Linked DNA regions of Callithrix jacchus. The protein of the gene in region 3 purifies or fractionates together with the protein of the main gene of each other region. This does not show direct contact. Links are inferred from orthologs where the notes say so. Each region holds a gene or a part of one and is shown on either strand. Other genes may lie near its edges. The genes, in order: STX6, NAPA, SNAP23, VAMP2 and VAMP8.

What was found.
Region 1: the proteins of SNAP23 (region 3) and STX6 purify together in Homo sapiens (affinity purification with mass spectrometry; 3 studies listed by BioGRID and IntAct, with this or other methods). This does not show direct contact. The link is inferred for Callithrix jacchus from reciprocal best matches to the Homo sapiens genes SNAP23 and STX6.
Region 2: the proteins of SNAP23 (region 3) and NAPA purify together in Homo sapiens (affinity purification with mass spectrometry; 4 studies listed by BioGRID and IntAct, with this or other methods). This does not show direct contact. The link is inferred for Callithrix jacchus from reciprocal best matches to the Homo sapiens genes SNAP23 and NAPA.
Region 4: the proteins of SNAP23 (region 3) and VAMP2 purify together in Homo sapiens (affinity purification with western blotting; 4 studies listed by BioGRID and IntAct, with this or other methods). This does not show direct contact. The link is inferred for Callithrix jacchus from reciprocal best matches to the Homo sapiens genes SNAP23 and VAMP2.
Region 5: the proteins of SNAP23 (region 3) and VAMP8 purify together in Homo sapiens (affinity purification with western blotting; 3 studies listed by BioGRID and IntAct, with this or other methods). This does not show direct contact. The link is inferred for Callithrix jacchus from reciprocal best matches to the Homo sapiens genes SNAP23 and VAMP8.

What each region holds. Positions count from the first base shown.
Region 1 is NC_133519.1:39,281,136-39,284,647, reverse strand, and holds part of STX6 (syntaxin-6), read left to right. Parts: intron 1-3,156; coding exon 3,157-3,282; intron 3,283-3,512. UniProt on the Homo sapiens protein: SNARE promoting movement of transport vesicles to target membranes. Targets endosomes to the trans-Golgi network, and may therefore function in retrograde trafficking.
Region 2 is NC_133523.1:41,431,573-41,435,084, forward strand, and holds part of NAPA (alpha-soluble NSF attachment protein), read right to left. Parts: intron 2,981-3,512; coding exon 2,903-2,980; intron 2,664-2,902; coding exon 2,608-2,663; intron 2,537-2,607; coding exon 2,452-2,536; intron 1,658-2,451; coding exon 1,553-1,657; intron 489-1,552; coding exon 420-488; intron 1-419. UniProt on the Homo sapiens protein: Required for vesicular transport between the endoplasmic reticulum and the Golgi apparatus. Together with GNA12 promotes CDH5 localization to plasma membrane.
Region 3 is NC_133509.1:30,176,112-30,180,385, forward strand, and holds the start of SNAP23 (synaptosomal-associated protein 23), read left to right. Parts: upstream 1-1,473; 5' UTR 1,474-1,557; intron 1,558-2,985; exon of another isoform or gene 2,986-3,093; 5' UTR 3,094-3,190; intron 3,191-3,712; exon of another isoform or gene 3,713-3,838; 5' UTR 3,839-3,879; intron 3,880-4,274. UniProt on the Homo sapiens protein: Essential component of the high affinity receptor for the general membrane fusion machinery and an important regulator of transport vesicle docking and fusion.
Region 4 is NC_133506.1:74,637,170-74,641,207, forward strand, and holds the start of VAMP2 (vesicle-associated membrane protein 2), read right to left. Parts: upstream 2,812-4,038; 5' UTR 2,743-2,811; coding exon 2,741-2,742; intron 2,220-2,740; coding exon 2,099-2,219; intron 1,618-2,098; coding exon 1,459-1,617; intron 1,377-1,458; coding exon 1,325-1,376; intron 717-1,324; coding exon 700-716; 3' UTR 1-699. UniProt on the Homo sapiens protein: Involved in the targeting and/or fusion of transport vesicles to their target membrane. Major SNARE protein of synaptic vesicles which mediates fusion of synaptic vesicles to release neurotransmitters.
Region 5 is NC_133515.1:27,446,704-27,450,868, reverse strand, and holds the start of VAMP8 (vesicle-associated membrane protein 8), read left to right. Parts: upstream 1-1,360; 5' UTR 1,361-1,421; coding exon 1,422-1,424; intron 1,425-3,471; coding exon 3,472-3,630; intron 3,631-4,165. UniProt on the Homo sapiens protein: SNAREs, soluble N-ethylmaleimide-sensitive factor-attachment protein receptors, are essential proteins for fusion of cellular membranes.

The DNA.
Region 1 (3,512 bases), on a different chromosome or scaffold from region 3:
TGCTGACCATCCATGGATCATGTAATCAAGAGGAAGACCTCTGCATGCAGGCCCTGGTGTGACCATGGGAGGTTTTGTGACAGTCCAGGCAGCTGTCCCTGTACCCTGTCAGCGTTTCCCTCCCCTCTCTCACCTTCTGATTCTTTCCTGTGGGCTCCCATAGCACCTTTTGCCTACCCTTACTATGGCACTTGTCAGAGTACTTTTACTGTTTTCATGTGTTTATTCTGCACCTGTTGAGCACGTTCTGTGTGCTAGGCTCTTTTAAGGGCTATAATTACTTACTGTCTTTCTCTCTGCTGGGCCCCAGGCCCCTTGAGAGTGAGGAGAGATCTGTGTCTTGGTTTTTAGTTGTTGGGTTTTTTTTTTGAGCTCTCTAGTAGTTACTACATTGCCTACCCATGGAACACAATAGACATCTATGGATTGACATTTGATGTAAAGACATTAGAGGAACCTTAAACTTGTGTCTTAAATTTCTCTTTAAGTAGTTTTTTAAAATTACATACTTTGGCATATTTATAGAAACTGCTTTCTAATTGTTAAAATATAGTTCTTTAAAAAAATGTAGAATGGTCATCTAGAATTTGGACTTTAATTTAGATTGAAATTTGATTTAGACTTTTTTGGTGGGATAGAATGTTTTTTGCCTGTTGCTAAACTGTTAGGTGATTTTTTTATGGAAGTAGTTTTTTAAAATTCTGTGGATATCCATTTTTCTTAGGAGTAAACAGTAAATAGTATCATGAAAAATGATAGTTTGTTTTAAATGAATTATGATTCCAGAAAGTTACGAATTGTCCGTATAGTAGGCTCTTGAGAAATCTTGCTATTTTTACTTAACTAGCAATCAGTACTTTATAACATAAATCCTTACTTTATACCTGTGGGTGTTTGTCAAGCCACTTCATTTTGAAAACAAATATGAAAGCTTGAAGAAGGGGGAGGGTTCTATAAATATCACCTCACTTAATTTTTCTGTTTGCTTTTCTTGCATTCCATTTTTCAAGTCATTGTTTTGTTTTTGGCTTTTTAATCTTATTTGCCTCCTTTGCTTTCTTTTTGATCAGTACAGCTAGGAAGAGCCACTAGCTGGTTCATTCCGTCTGGCTCCCTCTCTTGAAAGAAGCTAGTGAATGGCCTCAAGTTGGCTAGTTTTGGAGTTCTCTTCTCATTTGCACTTGACCTTATAGGAAGTGGAAGTACCTGAAGTAGTTGTGGCAGTGAAGTTGGTAACACCTATGCTGCCACTCTAACTTGAATGTTTTATTCTCTAGATAGTATAGGCTACTATCCACATTAGTATGGGCTAATGTGGATAACATGGGCATATGTATTGCCTGTCCAAGTGTGGCCTGGAATTTGGTTTTAGGCCATGAGCGAAATGTCAAGTTGCAAATGTTTAAGGAATGGCAAGGCCAGGGCTTTCTAAGCCTCCTGCAGGCCTGGGCCTTGCTGTGTCATGCCAGGCACCAGGTATTGTGCTGCTCCCTCCACCAACCCTGCTTTGGCACCCACGCACAGGTGCATCTCCCAGCGCTTGGCTCCTCTCTCAATCTCTTTCCTATTAGACCTCTGGGGTCAGACCAATGAACTTTAAGCACCTTTACAATAAAATGTGGATGATTTGCCCTATACTTAGCTCTGCCTAAGTGTAGACCATGGAAAATGTAGGCAAAATAGCCCTGTGACCTCAGGAGCACATAAGGCCCTGGTGATGTCCCAGTTCACTGTCCTTAGGCATTACAGCCTTTTTCTGACCCTAAAAAAATTGTCACTAGTTCCTCATGTCTTCCATAGAGGTCCTTAGAGTCTGGATCAGAATGAGCAGGATCTTTTCAGTGTTGACAGCCCTAAGACCAGGTCAGGGCAGAGCCACCCACAAAAACCCTTGGATCTGCTTTACACCAGAGACAGTCACCATCTAGCCTCTTGACTGGACTGCCCTGGGCCACTGGAAGCTCTTGTAAGAAGAGCTTCTAATAACTGAGCCTCTTAGAAACTCTGCTAATAACAACCTCAGAACATAGCACACTGCATCCCGAGCTGCCCTGATTGTCCCTGAAGTCTGGCCATTTGATGGAGCTCACCCCTTGCAGTCTGGAATAAGTCAGTGCCACTATGAAGGAAGATCATGAGGCTGTTAGAAGGGTTTCAGATAGAACCAAGTAAACAGTCAGGCTTTTAATAGTGCCAGAGATTTTTTTTTTAATTACCTAGTAGGAAATGGCAACTCAACAAGAAAAAAAGTCTTAGTTGCTGGCGTCTTCTGGCTCTTGGCGCACGGCTGGTGTGAGCAGTTACTTTGACCTGTCAGAAAGGCTTGTGGGAATCTGGTCAGAACCAACTGTGGAGACTGAGCTCTCACATTCCGGCCTGGCCTCTTCATGTGAGGAAGACATACCCAACCTTACCCATTTATGGCTGCAGACTTCCCTGAATTCGTACTTCAGAAACCCAGCCCTGTTGTCTGGGAGCCGTGGTGGAAGACTGACTTTAGGGCAGCCCTTGCCTAGGTTGCCAAGGTCAGGGATTCCTTGTGGTCACACCTGCCTGGTGAAGGAACCCCAGTTGTCATCTGGAAAGCCTGAAGGACCCTGGATTCTATTCATGGGTTAAACTTTACAGACATTGATGGTTCTTAAGCCTTTTGTGTGTGAAGGACTATGGCTTACCTGCTTGTAGTTTGAGGGACCTCTCCTTTTCCCCCCACCAAAAACCCCAAAACTTCCCTGGGTCACACTTTTCTTAAAAAAGTACTTTAGATCTTTGGAATCAGGTTGACTGGAACCTATGGGTTGCTGAAGTTCCACAGGTGCCAGGAAGAGCTCTTTGACAAAAGATTGAGTGCTTTTCAGTTATAACACAGTATCTAGATGGGCGTTTGCTGATTTAGCAGGCATTTATTTGCACTTTAAGGGGACAAAGCCCATTGTGAGGCCTGTTGGGAGAGCTTGAACACAGAGAGGGCCCTTCTGGAATTCCTTAAATTGTACCACACAGGCACCAGACTACACCACTAGATAAAAGCCTGGCCCAGGGGAAAATAGATGATAAGAAATGTGAAAACCCTTTATATCACTCTCGATGCTTCACTTGTTCAGAGATAGTAACCGTTTGTTTCTCCTGACTCCTCCGGTTGTCCTGCTCACACAGGCACTGCTGGGAGACAGTGGCAGCCAGAACTGGAGCACTGGAACAACAGATAAATACGGGCGCCTGGACAGAGAGCTCCAGCGAGCCAATTCTCATTTCATTGAGGAGCAGCAGGCACAGCAGCAGGTACCCCAAGGGGCCCAGGCTTAGGATGGGGCAGTGGGAAAAAATAAACACACCTTAGTTCCTTTGCCAGCCATGGGGTCTCATGGCTTAATGACAAGCGGGGTAAGCCAGAGCTTGTCCTGTGGTTTATTATGTTTAAATATTTAATGATTGCATGCATAAAGAGTTTCAATCTTCACAGCATGACTGCTTCAAGAGAACCAAGCTCAGCCAGGCATGGTGGTTTATAC
Region 2 (3,512 bases), on a different chromosome or scaffold from region 3:
TCATGTGTGGTGTGTGTGTGGGGTGCATGTCATGTGTGGTGTGTGTGTGGGGTGCATGTCATGTGTGGTGTGTGTGTGGGGTGCATGTCATGTGTGGTGTGCATGTCATGTGTGGTGTGTGTGTGTGGTGTGCATGTCATGTGTGGTGTGTGTGTGGGGTGCATGTCATGTGTGGTGTGTGTGGTGTATGTGTGGTGTGCATGTCATGTGTGGTGTGTGTCCACCCAGCCCACCCCGGGCTCTAACACTCCCCAAGTTGTACTTTCTTCATCTGGAAAATGGAGACTCAACTGGCCAAAGAAAACAACACAAAGACACCCTCTGAGAACCACTGGACAAGCCTCAGTGACTGTCCCACGTGAACCCTGGCCACCCGCATCTGGTTTGAGAAGTGGGAGGCTGGAGCACTCAGCACTTACTTTCACCAACTTGCATTCCCGGGAATCAGAGAAAGCTGGGAACAGCTCCTCATACTTCTGCACAGCCAGCTGGACAGCAGGGAGGGAGGAGGGCGAGTCAGTCATGAGAGGGCCCTCAGAGCTGCTGGCCTGGCAGCCGAGAGGACCTGGGGATGGCTGGTGATACTGAGTCAGCGCTGCACGCCCCTCCCCAAGCCTCAGGTGTCACCTGGCTCTGTGCCTGTCAGTACCTCCCCGGAGCTGAGCTCAGCACCATCCTGGCTGCAGAGAGTGGTGGGTGGAGGGGGAAGGTTCCCCAGGCAGGTACCCACTGCCTCCTCCCACCTGGCTCAGCTGGGGCAGCAGGCAAATGAGCACATCCTCCATGCCAGGCCCGGGGCTGGTGCTTCCTGAGGACTCTGAGAGGGTCAAATAATGATGAGCACCCTTTTTAAAGGGAGGAAACAGATCCAGAGGGGCAGTGACGTGCCCAGGGCACGGTGAGACATAGGGTGGGGATGTGAACCTGGTCTGGCAAAGCCCAGGCTGGTGGTCACAGCAGAGCAGGGCTCGGAAGGGCTGTGAGGCAGGGGCTGGGCAGCCAGGGGGACCAGGAAATCCTGGGCTCTGTGCTCCTGCCAGGCAATGGTGGGAAAACTCCAGCCAAGCAAAGTCTAGTGCCAACCCTCTGGCTCCTTCCTGCTGGCCATGCCCTCGACCCACTGCCCTCTCTGGCCCCTTTTGCCAAGTGCCCTGAAAACAGGCGGGCATGTGAGCTCCAGTTAAAGGCATTACAGCGGCAGTCACGAAGCTCTGGAACGTTGAGCTGCAGGTCCCTACGCACATGGCCTCAAACTCTCGTCCCAGCCTCAGCATCTTCACCCATAAAATGAGGTGACAATGGTGCTGACTTTATGGGGTGCAGTGAGGATTCAAACAGTGTACCCACGAAGGAAAGAGCACAGTAAGGCAGGAGCTAGACCCGCAAGAGCCTCCAGGACCAGCGGCAGGTGACGCCAGCACAGAAACACAGCGGTGAGAACCACACTCCTCCTCCAAAGGCCAGCTGGCAGGGGCCAGGCGTGAGGGACGAGCACACCCCCTCTGGCCTGGTGATAGGCACATGGTGGCCTGGCCGGCGCGGGGCGCACTACCTTGGCGTTGAGCATGTCGATGCAGAAATGGCAGAGGGCCGCCTTGAAGAAGTAGTCTTTGGCACTGTACTTGAGGAGGGGGCTGTCCATGGCGCTGGTCCCCACCTGCAGCCATGAAGTAGCACTGTGAGCTCAGGGCAAGCAGCCAGAGGGCCAGGGCCACTGCCAAGCACCGGGAGCCAGCTGGGAGCTGGGTCTGTGTCCTGGGGTGAGGGCCTGTGAACCCAGGACCCTAATGGCAGGGAGCCAGGAACCAGCTTGGGGAGGTCAGTGGCCAGTGCGTGAGCAGCCAAGATCAGGGCATGACGGTGGCTGAGACTGTAGCCAGGTGTCCGTGGGCCTCCCGAGAGCCTGAGACAGTGGGGAGGAGGCAGTCTGGCTGTCAGGACCAACGGGAGGCTGGCACAGCGGTGGGCAGAGGGGTGGCAGGCGGCGGGAACATGAGAGGCGGTGCCCGCCCCTCTCTCCCCCGGGGCCAGCTGCCTGCCTGTTTCTCGGCCATCACCCAGGGCTGTGTGCACACTGCAAGGAGCCCATGTGACACTCCCTCCCGCTCACTGTGGATGAGGACCGTTGTGTCATGGGGTAGGGTGCCCACAGGCACCCCGGGCCCCTTGGCAATTCTTTCCGTTCTCTCTTTGACTCTGTTCTTGGCCAGCCTCACTCTGGATCCCTCCAGGAAACTCTGCATGGGGTGTGGGAGGGGCACAGCCAGGGAGAGGGTGCCAGCATGGCATAGGGTCATAGGTGGAGAACATTCAGCCAGGCTGAGGATGGGGTTGAGGGGATCGGGAGAGGCAGAGGGCGAGCTGGGGGAGGGGTGGTTCCAAAACAAGGTGCTGGTTCCTAGGAGGAGGCACATGTCCTGAGAGCGGGCAGGGTCGCCATCTGTTCCCCACCTGTTCGTAGATGTCAATGGCCTTCTGATACTGCTCCAGCTGCGCGGCGTAGCCAGCCACCTTCAGCAGACACTTGTTGGCTGAGCTGTGTGGGGAGGAGGAGTGAGGGAAGTGGTGGTGGTCCCTGCGGGGAGGGGCAGGCAGGAAGGGGGCTACCTGTTGGACTCCTCGCCTTTGTAGTAGTCTGCGGACTGCTCATAGTGGGCGATGGCCTGGGGAGACACGGGGGCAGGTTTCAGAGCTGAGCAGCGGTGGGAGAGGAGGCCTCATGCAGCTTCTACACCCTCCGCCCTGCCTGCCTGGGACACAGCCAGACCCCTTTACCTGACCTCTGCCGGTCCCCCACCCTCTCTTCTCAGCACTCAGACACCAGAGGAGTCCCCTGGTGGGAAGAAGACAGAGCCGCGCTGGTCCTGGCTGCCAGCCCAGGCAGGGCCCTGCTGCCACTCACCTTCTCAATGTCCACCAGCTCCGTCTCATAGATCTCAGCAATGGAGATGTGGTGCTTGGCCGCAATCGTGAATCGGCCCTAGAGGGAACACGGGAAGGGGCTGCCTGTGCCTGGTGAGCTCTTGCATGCCTGGCCCTGCACCCCTGCTGACCCATGACCCTTCAGGTTCCCACCCCTCAGCCACGCCTTCGAGGAGACATGAAGAAGACACTGAGAGGGGGGGACACGGGTGAGAACGGAGGGCCCCAGCACTCCTGGTTGTGCGTGCTGGGCTGAGCAGGTGACCTTGGGCAAGCCACTCCAGGGCCTCCGCCTAATTCTATCCGACCCACGGGGGCACAGATGGTGTGATACCAGAGAGGATGTGAGCACGAGCACTTGGCTGAGGCCCTGGCCCTGAGGAAGCATCTGATAGAGAGGCCAGAGAGGCAGAAGGACCAGCCCAGAATCACTTGGCAAAAGGCTCTGGAGAAACCAGGATGGGAGGGAGGGCTTGAGACCCCTGCCAAGAGCACCAGCTCTGCCCCCAGGCCAACAGCCACCTGTCAGCCTCCTCCATGCACACCCAGAGCTCCCCAGGGAGGCCTCAGGTTCCAGCCCATGCACCTTC
Region 3 (4,274 bases):
CCCAGCGATCTCATTTGAAATGCTGCAGAAACCTACTTTCCATTACAATATCTCATTAATATTTTTATGACACACGTAAATGTAATTGGCAACTGTGTAGTAGATACTAAATAAATTCTAGTTGCATCTGAATACTGTCGTCCCTTATTTCATTCACGACCAAACTTGAGAACGGGCCTTAAAGCAAAAAAAAAAAAAATTTTTTTTTGAGATTGAGCCTCTCTCTCGCCCAGGAGGGAGTACAGTGGCGCGGTCTCGGCTCACTGCAACCTCCGCTTCCTGGGGCTCAACCGATTCTCTGCCTCAGCCTCCAGAGTCCTGGGATTACAGGCGCCCACCACCAAGCCCGGCTAATTTTTTGTATTTTTAGTACAGACGGGGTTTCACCGTCTTGGTCAGGCTGGTCTTGAACTCCTTGACCTCGTGATCCACCCGCCTAGGCCTCCCAAAGATCGCAGGCATGAGTCACCGCGCCCGGCCCTTAAAGCAAATTTTAAGGTTTCCCATGGGATTTACAACAGTACTAAACTCTTAGTAAGTACTCAAAAGTTATTTGTGGTTTGAATAGGCTGGATATAAACCATTACGGTGGATACAGCACTTGTTTGCTAAGCAAGAGAACTTCCCTGACCTAGAATGGCAGTCTCAAGTTGCTAAAAGCGAATCTCGAACTTCTCAACAAATCTTACTCTCAAAGATGATTAAACAACAAACTGAAATGGGAGGAGGGTGTAAAGCGTTTCCTCTCCATAACTATAAACCGAGATTCTGACTAAATATTAAATGAACACAGTAACCGCTCCATAATTAGTTGCCATTATTAAGATACATCACACACGGAGAGAAAGGAAAGGAGAAAAAGGAACGAAGGTTGTCAGTCGCGAGAGGTTGAAATGTGTCGCGGGACCTGAGACTACCGGCTTTAAGCACCAGGGTCTTTTGGACTCCCTGCCCAACTGAGGACCGAAGGTCAGCGGCTTCCCCTAAAGGTCAAGGCTTTGGAGCCACATTTCCTTCTGGGGCTGGGAGCAGAGCTGGAACGCCCCCACGAAAATCCGTACCCCGAAGCCAGCAGCACCGCCTGCCTGTAATCCCGCGCCGGCTCTGGGAGAGTGGACCGCTGGGTTACCCCTGCGCCGCAGCCTGCCGGAGCAGAAAGCGGGCCGCGTCTTGCAGCCACACAATCTCCCTAAGGGACAGACCACCAGGACCCTTGGGCTCCAATACGCTCAACGCAGGCCGGCCCATCGATACTCACATTCACAGCCAACCCCTCTTACTCCATCAGGCCGCCGAGAGACAGGCGAGGGAGCTCCCTGACGCCCCAGACTCCCCCCTTCAGTTTTGGGTCCGGGAGCCTGCTCCGGACCCGCTCCCCGCCGGGCCCTGCCACAGCCGCCGCCAGCGCGCAGGCGCACAGCGAGGCCGTCACGCTCTTTTTTTTCCTTTGCCTGCAGCCGTTCTCAATAATCTAGCTTTATTTGAACACAAGAGAGTGAACAACGGACACACAGGAAGAGGTTTTTCTCAAAAAGAATGGAGGAAGAACAAAGGCAGGTCAGCTTGCGGGAGAGTCGGTCCGCAGCATTGGACGCTATGAACAGTCTCCCTGGTCCCTTTTTCATTTTCTTTATTTCTCCTTGTTCTTTCCCGGCCTCCCTCTAGCTCCTTCCTTGGTGTCCCGCCATTTCCTTTAGTCAGTGGCAACTGTTCAGGCTAAAATTTGAAATAACTCCTTCCTTGTAAAATTTACTAAAATTTAATGGGAGGTGCAAGAGCTTTTAGGACAGACCTGCCCGAGTTTCAGATCTCGGACTAGCTACTAATAATTTACGACTTTGGGTAAATTAAAATTTTTCTTGGAACCTCAAGATCTTGAGTTAAAATTAGGATAATGTTGGGCCAGTCACGGTGGCTCATGCCTGTAATCTCAACACTTTGGGAGGCCGAGGTGGGTGGGTCAGGAGATGGAGACCATCTTGGCCAACATGGTGAAACCCCTTCTCTACTTAAAAAAAAAAAAAAAAAAATAGCCTGGTATGGTAGCGGGCGCCTGTAGTCCCAGCTACTCAGGAGGCTGAGGCAGAAGAATCGCTTGAACCCGGGAGGCAGAGGTTGCAGTGAGCCGAAATGACGTCACTGCACTCTAGCCTGGCAACAGATCATGACTCGGTCTCAAAAAAAAAAAAACAAACAAAAAACCCTAAAATTAAGACAATGTTATCTCACAGGGTGTTGCTAAAATTAAATAACATAGGTCAAGTGTTTTATCCATGAATGCTGCCTATCACAGAGCAGACATTCCATTATAACTGGTTTTATTCTTACTCATGCCTAAGGTATTTATAATTTTTTTTTTTTTAGGTAGAAACGGGTTTCACCATCTTGCCCAGGCTAGTCTCAAACTCCTGGGCTCAAGTGAACAGCCTTCCAAAGTGCTGGATTACAGGTGTCACCCACTGCGCCCAGCCTACATTTATTATTATTACTGAGACGAAGTCTCACTCTGTCATCCAGGCTGGAGTGCAGTGGCACTATCTTGGTTCTCTGCAACCTCTGCCTTCCGGGTTCAAGCAGTTCTCCTGCCTCAGCCTCTCAAGTAGCTGGAATTACAGACATACACCACCATGTCCAGATAATTTTTGTATTTTTAGTAGAGATGGGGTTTCGCCATGTTGGCCAGGCTGGTCTCAAATTCCTGACCTCAAGTGATCTGCCCGCCCCGGCCTCCCAAAGTCCTGGGATTACAGATGTGAGCCACTGTGCCCAGCCGCCTATATTTATTATTAAACTTAGCTCATACCCATTCCCTCAGAGCCGTAATTTTAGTGACTGAGACTAATCAGATAAAGGAAATGACATTAAGGTTGATCATTATGTGAAGTGTTCCTCTTATATTATTGAGATTATAACATCTCTGTTTAACCAGACCGTCAATGCCTCAAATAAAAGTGAGCAGTTACATTCATCTCTATGTATATCCAGATTTGCTTCTAGAGGTTCAGGAAACTTCCAGTTCTGTGTTTGTGACATCACAAGTCCTTGAAACACTCAAGGGCTATGGTATGCTGCTCATTTTACTCTCCTTCAAAGGCATGCAATGGAAGAACTATTTTGCCCTGTAAACTCTGGCCCATCGTTCAAGGAAAAGCCTTTAGAAGACCACAGTCAGATATTGGTGATTATTAAGGTAAGCTACTTTAGTGTTTGTCAACTTTGGGATTACTGACATTTTTGGAACATATACTTTTTTGTTGTCAAGGGTATTATGTGCATTATAAGATGTTTAGCAGCAGATCGGGAGCACTAGCTCACATATGTAATCCTAGAACTTTGGGAGGTCAAGGCAGACAGATCGCTTGAGTCCAGGAGTTTGAGACCAGCATAAGTGACATGGTGAAACCTCATCTCTACAAAAAATATGAAAGTTAGCCGGGTGTGGTAGTACACACCTGTACTCCCAGCTACTTGGGAGGCTGAGGTGGGAGGATCTGAGCTGCAGAGGTAGAGGTTGCAGTGAGCCAACATCACACCACTGCCCTCCAGTCTGAGCAAGACCCTGTCTCTCTTTCTCTCTCTGTCTGTCTCTCTCTCTCTCTCTCTCTCTCTCTCTGTGTGTGTGTGTGTGTATGTGTGTGTGTGTGTGTATGTTTAGCAGCATCACTGGACAAGATGCCAGTAGTATCCACCCCCCATTTCCCTGTTATCACAGACATTGCTAAATATCCTCTGGAGGACAAAAGTGTCCCTGGTTGAGAACCATGGAATTATTATCAATGACCATCCCAACCCTAAATGAACTCAACTGTGCATTTTCTCCACCTCTGCCCTTGAAAAGTGACTACTGCTTGAGAAAGCTACACAGGAAGGGAGAAAATGGTGAGTTCATTTTTGCCCATATTAAAAAGGCCCTCAGTACTGCTTACCAGTCCTACAATGTTTTTCTATCCATTTCTTGTATTACTTTCTACAATATTCCAAATCTTCTCAACTTTCCTTTAAACTCCCAATACTATCTCCTTTTCTGTCAGATGATCCTATCTCCAACCTCACAGAGAAAACAGGTCATCAAATGAGAACTTTAACTTCCTTTTACTAAACATACAAACAGACACATTCTTCCTCTCATAATTGGGGAAGGAAGTATCTTCACTCTCTCTCTTTCTCCCTCCCTCACTTCTTCCAAAACCACTCCTCTCACCAGTGCTTTGAACTGCCTCGAAACTGCTGCTATTCTTACCCTTTCAAGAACTTTCCCTACTGACTATCCCTTC
Region 4 (4,038 bases), on a different chromosome or scaffold from region 3:
TGTCGTGCAAACAAAAATGTAATACAAGTATTAATGGGGACTAACTCCTCAGTGAAAAAAAGAAACACAGGTTAAGAGAAGAGTGATAGAACAAAAAGAAATGGAAAGAGACTGCAGTATGCAATGATACACTAATTAACATGCTGGACGCTCCCAAAGACCTTGGGATTCTTAGGACCAAGTGGGGCCAGTCTCAGAGCCTCCTAATGGATGCAAAAAAGATGCACCTAAGGAAGCCCGGACAGGTGCTTTTCATTTTTTTTTTTTGAGGGCGGAGCACAGGGAGCATGAAGGGGAGAGGGAGGAGGAAAGGAAGGCCAGGGTGGGAGGATGGATCAGCTAAATCTGAGGGAAGGAGGAGGAGAGGAGAGGGACTATTGCATAGCAGATGCAAATGAAGGGACTTGGGGCTAGTCAGGAAGAAAGGGAAAGGAAAGGAAGGCAAGAGAGAGGAGGTGAAGGGAACCTCAGGAAGGGGTGTTAAGGACAACCGGAAAAATCTTCTAGTAATAAAACTACAAACAGACCAAATATATATAATATTATATATGTATAAATAACAGCTGGCTATTTACAGGGGGACACACAGACACACACGGATCCAGGGGAGGGGGACTGAAAGATATGGCTGAGAGGTGGAGGAACGGCTGAGGGTGGGGGGAGAGGCCCTTCTCTAGGCAGGGCAGACTCCTCGGGGATTTAAGTGCTGAAGTAAACTGTGGAGAGAGAGGAAGAAGATAAGGAAGGAGGAGAGGGGAGGAGGAGAGAAAGAGAGAGAGAGAGAAAAAAAGAAAGCAGTGTGTCAGGCCTGGCCCTGCTCCAATCCTCCCCACTCCCCAGCGGGTTGACACCCCTTCCCCTCTCTTGGCCTCAGTTTCTCCATCTACAAAGCAGGGGGCTAGACAGGTAGGTTCTGAGGTCCCTTCAACTCCATGGTATGGCCATGAGGCCACAGATGCTAATCCTCTGAGCCTCTGAGACCACAAGTTCTCAAATCATGGGGTGGTTGTCTTCCTGGTCATGTCTCAAGCCCCTGGGCCTTTCCTTTCTCCCACTCATCAGTTTCAGGGTTCTTGGACTGGGCTCTTAGGCCCAAAGGGTCCTTAATGGATACATCACCTTTCCTTTTTCCAAATGTTAACAAAAACTGTCCAGAACCAGGCAAACTGCAAGCTAAATAACATCAAAGTTTTTGGCTCTAGATGAATCAGAATTGCCATTAGCAGCTACGACTGTTTTTGGCTGAAGAGTAAAACTAGGTTAATGACCTTTAAAACCCAGAATCTACTGGGGGAACCTCCCCGGCCATTCCCACCCTACTCACCTATGATGATGATGAGGATGATGGCGCAAATCACTCCCAAGATGATCATCATCTGGGGATGAGAGGGAAGGATCAGTGAGACGAATCATGATACTCCATTCACCTGCCAGTCCCCTATCTGTCCCCACCCTTACCTTGAGGTTTTTCCACCAATACTTGCGCTTGAGCTTGGCTGCACTTGTTTCAAACTGGGAGGCCCCTGCCTGGAGCGCGTCTGCACGGTCATCCAGCTCAGATAGCTTCTGGTCTCGCTCCAGGACCTTGTCCACGTTCACCCTCATGATGTCCACCACCTGGGAGAGGGGCCCACGAGGCAGGGGGGTGTGCCAAGGCCCACCTCAGTGAGGGCAATCCTCAAACATGTGCCCACCATGCCATGCATGGAACATGCACCCTGATGCGCCAGGTTAACATGCCAAGGACACACAGAACATGCCTAGCACACCTGGGGACATGCAAGGAGCACACATCAGGGGCATGCTGCTGACATCTCAGATGTCACAGCAACACCCTCTCTCTATGGAGCCCCAGGCGCTCTGTCCATCACCAGAGCACACCTGCCCAGGCTGGCACACCCCAGGCTAGCAAAGCTGATTAACATCCCTAGTGCCCTTCCAGGTGCGTGCTGACAGGGAGACAGGGATGGGGCATGGTATCTTTGTCCGCAAACCCACAGGTGTGAAATGTCATCACTCCCAAACCAACATGGGCCCCTACACCTATATGCCAATCCCCAGGGTCTTTCCTGCTGCCTTTGACTTCCCCCACACTCACCTCATCCACCTGGGCCTGGGTCTGCTGCAGTCTCCTGTTACTAGTGAGGTTTGGAGGGGGCGCAGGGGGGCCACCCTCCCCAGCTGGGGCGGCAGGGGGGGCCGTGGCAGCAGTAGCAGACCTGAGGAGCAGGGACGGATTAAGATCCAGGGCCTGGAGCCTCCCGGCCCCACAGCCAGGGCTCCGCCCATCCACCTGTCCATCCTCGTCCCTCCAGTCCTCCTTTTCGGGAGGAAGGCCACCCGATGAAAGCCCTGGTCTCGGTCCAGCCCCGCCACCAATGGCTGCGTGACCTTGAGCGAGCCCCCCTTCCCCCGGCCTCAGTTTCCCCGCCTGTCAAATGAGGGCGACCTCATAGATGCGATAGGGGTCGACCCGAAAAGACAGGCGGCCGCGGCGACAGGGGCGGGGCGGGGCAGGAAGACACCGAGTCAGCTCCTTCCCGCGGCCGTCGCCCGAGCCGGCCAGCCCGGGACGCGGGGCTCCTCGGCCGCCTGCGCGCAGTCACCGGCTTGGGCCTGGCCCCGGGTCGTGGGGAACGCGGGGGACGCGGACGAGACCCCGGGCACTCCCCGAGGCCGGTTGCCAAGGGCGGCGGCCGGCGCGGGGAAGCGCGGCGGGGGTGGCGGGCAGCCGACTCACATGGCGGGGGCAGCGGGCGGAGGACTTGGCAGCGGCAGTGATGGCGGCAGCGGCTCGCGCTGGCTCCGACTGGCGCTGGCTGCCCGGGACGGGAAGATGGCGGCCGCGCGTCACCCGCATCCGGGCACTGCAGGCGGGGGCGGGGCTCCGCGGGAGACGCATCGGGAGCGGGGCCGGGGGCGGGGCGCTGCCGTGTTGGGGTCGTGCCGGGCGGGGCCGCGGGCCTGGAGCCCCAGCGCCGGGGTAGCTCCTTCACCACTCGAGGGACCCCAAGGTGGACTGTTGCGGCCTCCCCAAACCCACCGCCACCCGCCTCTGACCACAGCCTCCCACAGCCGCCCCCAAACTCTCCTTAGTAAGGACACACTGCAGCCCGACCCCACACCTAAGCCCCAGACCACCCCCCGCAATCGTGATCCCAGTAAACCAGCCAGCACCCCACACAGCCCAAGGTCTCTCCCCGCGCCCAGGCCCCAGCACCGAGCGACCCGCCTTCAGCACTTGGAATGGGCTGGGGTTGGGAAATCAGAGGGAGCTAGTGCAGATGCTGGGGCAATGCCAAGAGCGGGGACCCTGCTGCTCGGGTGGTGGGGAGTGAGGGAGGTTAGTCCCACCCCATCACCCCGCTCGCTGGTGGATGTCTCAGAGGAAGCCTGGGGTCCCTAGCCACTGGGTAGGAGGGTAGGAAGAAAAGATGAGGCAGGCTCTTCCCGCCCAAACTAGTCCGGGGAGCGGGGGACGGGGAGTGTCTACAGTAGGTGAGGAGGGGGCTGCCCCGCCTCACGACTGAAGTTCAGACTAGGGGTACTTAGTTGCTGGAGCAGGGCCGACGGAGGTGGGCTGAGGACCCCAAGGAGGAGGAAACAAGGCTGCCGGGAATGGTGGGTTGGTGGGGGCTGCTTCACGTGGTAGGTTGCTGGCTGGCCAAGACCTAGCTTTGCCCCAGGCTTGGGTCAGCGACCCCGACTGCAGGCGAGGGCTCAGGCTTTGGTCCCAGGCACGGGACCTGGGCCAAACAAAAACAAAAAAAGCCTTTTTCTCTCATTTTTTTCTCTTTAATAATAGGCACAGGGAGAACAGGTTACAGGGTGCTACTTTACATGCGTATTCACCTCGCAGGTGTGACCTTGGACAGTTGCCCTCCTCTCTCTGGACCCCAAATATATTGCACATGTAGGTACTAAATTCCTATTTTTTAAATGGCTTGATGTGGATATCGTGGTAGGAGATCACCTACCGCTGATCCATCTGGGGCTGGTCTCCATTAGGACCTCTAGGTGCACCCAGCAGCTGTACAC
Region 5 (4,165 bases), on a different chromosome or scaffold from region 3:
TTGGGGAAGCTGACATTTCCTCCTTGGAACTGATTTCTTCTGGAATGGGTCAAGAATGTTCGTTCCCTTCTGAATGTCCCTGTTATTGTTCTTCCGTCTTGATAAACACTGTCAAGGAAGAACAGATTTTCTCTGGCCTAGAGCCAGGTTAGTGGAAAAATCCTTTGCCTTGGGCCCCCTGCTGTGGTCCACTGGGCCAGTCCTCTGATCACTGACTGGGATAAATGACCTCCACAGAGTCCCCTGAAGGGAAATGCAGATTTGCTGAACTCTGGAAGGGAAGAAGGGGATTGTTGGTGAGCCATCATTACGGACACTGTGCTAGAGGCATTGCACTGCACATGCTATCTTTTTGCTTCTTTTTTTTTGAGACGGAGTCTTGCTCTTGTTGCACAGGCTGGAGTGCAATGGCACTATCTCGACTCACTGCAACCTCCACCTCCTTGGTTCAAGCGATTCTCCTGCTTCAGCCTCCCGAGTAGCTGGGATTACAGGCTTGTGCCACCATGCCTGGCTAATTTTTGCATTTTTAGTAGATACGGGGTTTCACCATGTTGGCCAGGGTGGCTTCAATCTCCTGACCTCATGATCTGCCCGCCTCGGCCTCCCAAAGTGCTGGGATTACAGGCGTGAGCCACCGCACCCAGACCTCTTTTTGCTTCTTACCAGCACCATCTTAGCTAAGCATCAACACCTGCCAACTCCGCAGAGGTAAAAAGTTTCACTCAGGGGCCTGCAACTAATAACCCAGAGCTTTCTGACATCAGAGCCCAGGATCACAGTATTCCAGACTTCAGGGGTTTTAGTGCTTTCTGCCACCCAAGGACCTGAGAACGAAAGCTGTCCAGCAAGAAATTTTCATAACTGCATTCTATTTCCCTGTGAACTAGGCCTGGCATGGTTGATCTCGGTGTCTAGAAACTGGAGTCAGATATTCAAGATATAAAAAGGAAATCGCTAGTGGGGCGTCATGGCTCCTAGGACTTTGGAGGTTAAGGTGGGAGGATCGCCTGAGCCCAGAAGTTTGAGACCAGCCTGGGCAACACAATGAGACCTCGTCTCTATTAAAAAAAAAAAAAAAGATATGGCTGCTCTTTCTAGATCAGGAGGTCCAGCCTCAGAAAACCTAGGAGGGCTGCTTGATCTTTCTTTTCTAATTCCTGACAAGTTAGAAGACCTTTGGCATCTGAGAGCCCTTTTGCTTTAAGCTTAAGCTCTTGTTTGGGAAGCCACTGGGAGACTGCGAAGAGTGCCCGCCTACCTGGGGAAACCTGAGTTAGGTGTGGCTGGAGCGACTCGAGATGCGAGGTGGGCGGGGGCAGGCTGAAAGTTGGAGCAAGCAGGAAGTGAGCCGAGGGCCACCCTAGGAGGAAGCCGACGAGGCGAATTCACCTGCTGACCGGCCTGAGCTGCTCTGAGATATGGTGAGAGAACCGGGAACGAGGAAAGGGCTGTTTTAAAGAGGGGCCAGAGGGGGCTCGGGACCGGGGGTTAACTGTGATGGGGGAGGAGAGTTGGTGGCAAAGTTAGAGGGCTGGGCCAGTGCTGCCTGTGGCCTCTCCTCTTTGACAACTTGGCTGCAAATAGCTCTGAGCCGTCCTGGGAGGTGTTCCTACTCCTTTTCCCTCCCTCCCTCCCCTGACCTCTGTGCTCGTCACGAGCTGGGCTTCGGTGCTGGTGCCGACGGGGCTCCGAATTCCAGGCAAATAGTTGTTACGCCTTCCTCCTCCAGGGAGCCCCGAGGCGGGTGTTGTGACGCTACAAGGCAGCGCCCCAGCAGTTCCCAGTTCAGATTCCAACCCAGTGGCAGGAGCTGTCTCGGGCCTTTCACTTTATTCCCACACAGAAACACAAGGGATTTGTGTGTCCACGGAGTCCTTCGGGTGTCCTTTCTCCATTAACGTGAAGAAGAGAACTAAGCGTTTATAAAGAACCAGAAATTGGTTCTCTGTGATAATCCAGTTCTGACCCGTGCCACTGGCTTGTTTTTGGAGGTCAAGGAGGGAGGAGCTTAATAGTATTTTTCTCTCCTTGTTCAAACACTTGGTCATGAAGCTTCCCAGATGAGACATCAGCCAGGGAGGACTAGTCCTCCATTTCCCCCAATGCCAAGATGGGTGTTTTTATTTAGCATCTGCATAAGCAGGCAGTTCCTTGGTACCTGCACGTGGTGCCCAGTGGTGGGGAAAGCAGAAGTGTGTGGCTCAACGGTTCCTGGCGCCTTCTGGGGGACTTGGTTGCCTGTTGCTCTGGGTCACAGCAATGGCATTGTAGCCAGAGCAGGGCTCCAGCAGCTGTCTTGGAGGGACAGATAGGTTGGGCTAGGTGAGGATATTTTGCTGGCCAGCACAGACACTTTCTTTTTTTTTTTTGGCTCGAGTCTGGCTCTGTTGCCGAGGCTGGAGTATAATGGCATAATCTTGGCTCGCGGCAACCTCCACCTTTTTGGTTCAAGCGACTCTCCTGTCTCAGCCTCCGAGTAGCTGGGGTTACAGATACCTGCTACTATACCCAGCTATTATATATATGCGTGTGTGTATATATATATATATGTGTGTGTGTGTGTATGTGTATGTGTATATATATATATATATATATATATATATTTTTTTTTTTTTTTTTTTTTTTTTTTGAGACAGAGTTTCACTGTTGTTACCCAGACTGGAATGCAATGGCACGATCTCAGCTCACCGCAACCTCCGCCTTCTGGGTTCACGCAATTCTCCTGCCTCAGCCTTCCGAGTAGCTGGGACTACAGGCACGCACCACCATGCCCAGCTAATTTTTGTAGTTTTAGTAGAGACGGGGTTTCATCTTGTTGACCAGGATGGTCTCGATCTCTTGACCTTGTGAACCACACGCCTTGGCCTCCCAAAGTGCTGGGATTATAGGTGTGAGCCACCACGCCCGGCCTATTTCTTGTATTTTTAGTAGATATGGGGTTTCACCATGTTGGCCAGGCTGGTCTCAAACTCCTGACCTCATGATCCACACGCCCCATCCTCCCAAAGTGCTGGGATTACAGGCCAAGCCACCACACCTAGCACAGACACTTTCAATGAGGATCCAGAGAAATCAGGAAAGGGGGGGTGGCTCCAGGCATTGTAAATAGTGGTGGGCTCTGCCCTGGCGGGGAACACTGTGAGATGCAATGCGGCTCTGCTGTATTCTATGGCCCTCTTTAGGGAGCAAGGAAGCAGTGGGGAGGGATTTAGTGATGTGCTGCTTTTCCTTGTCAGGGGCCCAAAAAGGAGTTTGATCCAGTCTGTTTAGCATCACATCTCACCTTCTGAGGCTTACAAATGCATTTATTTTTTATTACACAATACATGAAAACATTCTCTTTGTAAACATTTCAAGCATTTTACAAAAAGCTAAAGTCTGCCTGAGGCCTTACACTCCCCAGACCTCTGAGGCCAATTCTCCAGTTCCCCCAGCACTTGTTCTAATTAACCCCATGTTGCTGTGCAGGAGGAAGGCAGTGAAGGTGGAGGAAATGATCGCGTAAGGAACCTGCAGAGTGAGGTGGAGGGAGTTAAGAATATCATGACCCAGAATGTGGAGCGGATCCTGGCCCGAGGGGAAAACTTGGAGCATCTCCGCAACAAGACAGAGGATCTGGAAGCCACAGTGAGGACGGGAAACCCACTGGGGGTTGGAGGAAAAGAGGGAGGAAGGGAATTTCTTTTTGGTGGGGCAAAATAAACACGAGGGCCAGAAGTTAGCCATTTCTGTTGCTTTTCACCAGGTTTGGGAGCTGATATGAGCAGTCTCTACTTCTGAATCTGCTCTGATCCACAGATTGTTAGGGATCCCAGGGAATGGATCCCATGACTGGGGCTTGAGGTGGCAGCTCGCCCATAGAGGCATGTTCTGAGACCAATAGCTCAGTCAGCCCCTGCATTCTTAGGATTCTCTCCTGGGAAACTGAATTTCCCTTTGAAGCCTGCCCAAGACAATCATTTGCATCTGACCTTCCCAGGGCAGAAATATTGGCTCTGAGGAAACTCCCCTATGGCCTCTAGCCTTCTCTAGGAGCTATTAGGCAAAGGGTGAGAAATTGCTGGCATCTTGGTAAGTTGGCTTTAAAAACAAGCTGGAAAGAGCAGTAAAATGCTTTGATCCCAGGGTCCCCTGCTAGATGAAGGCTAGAATAATATCTCCC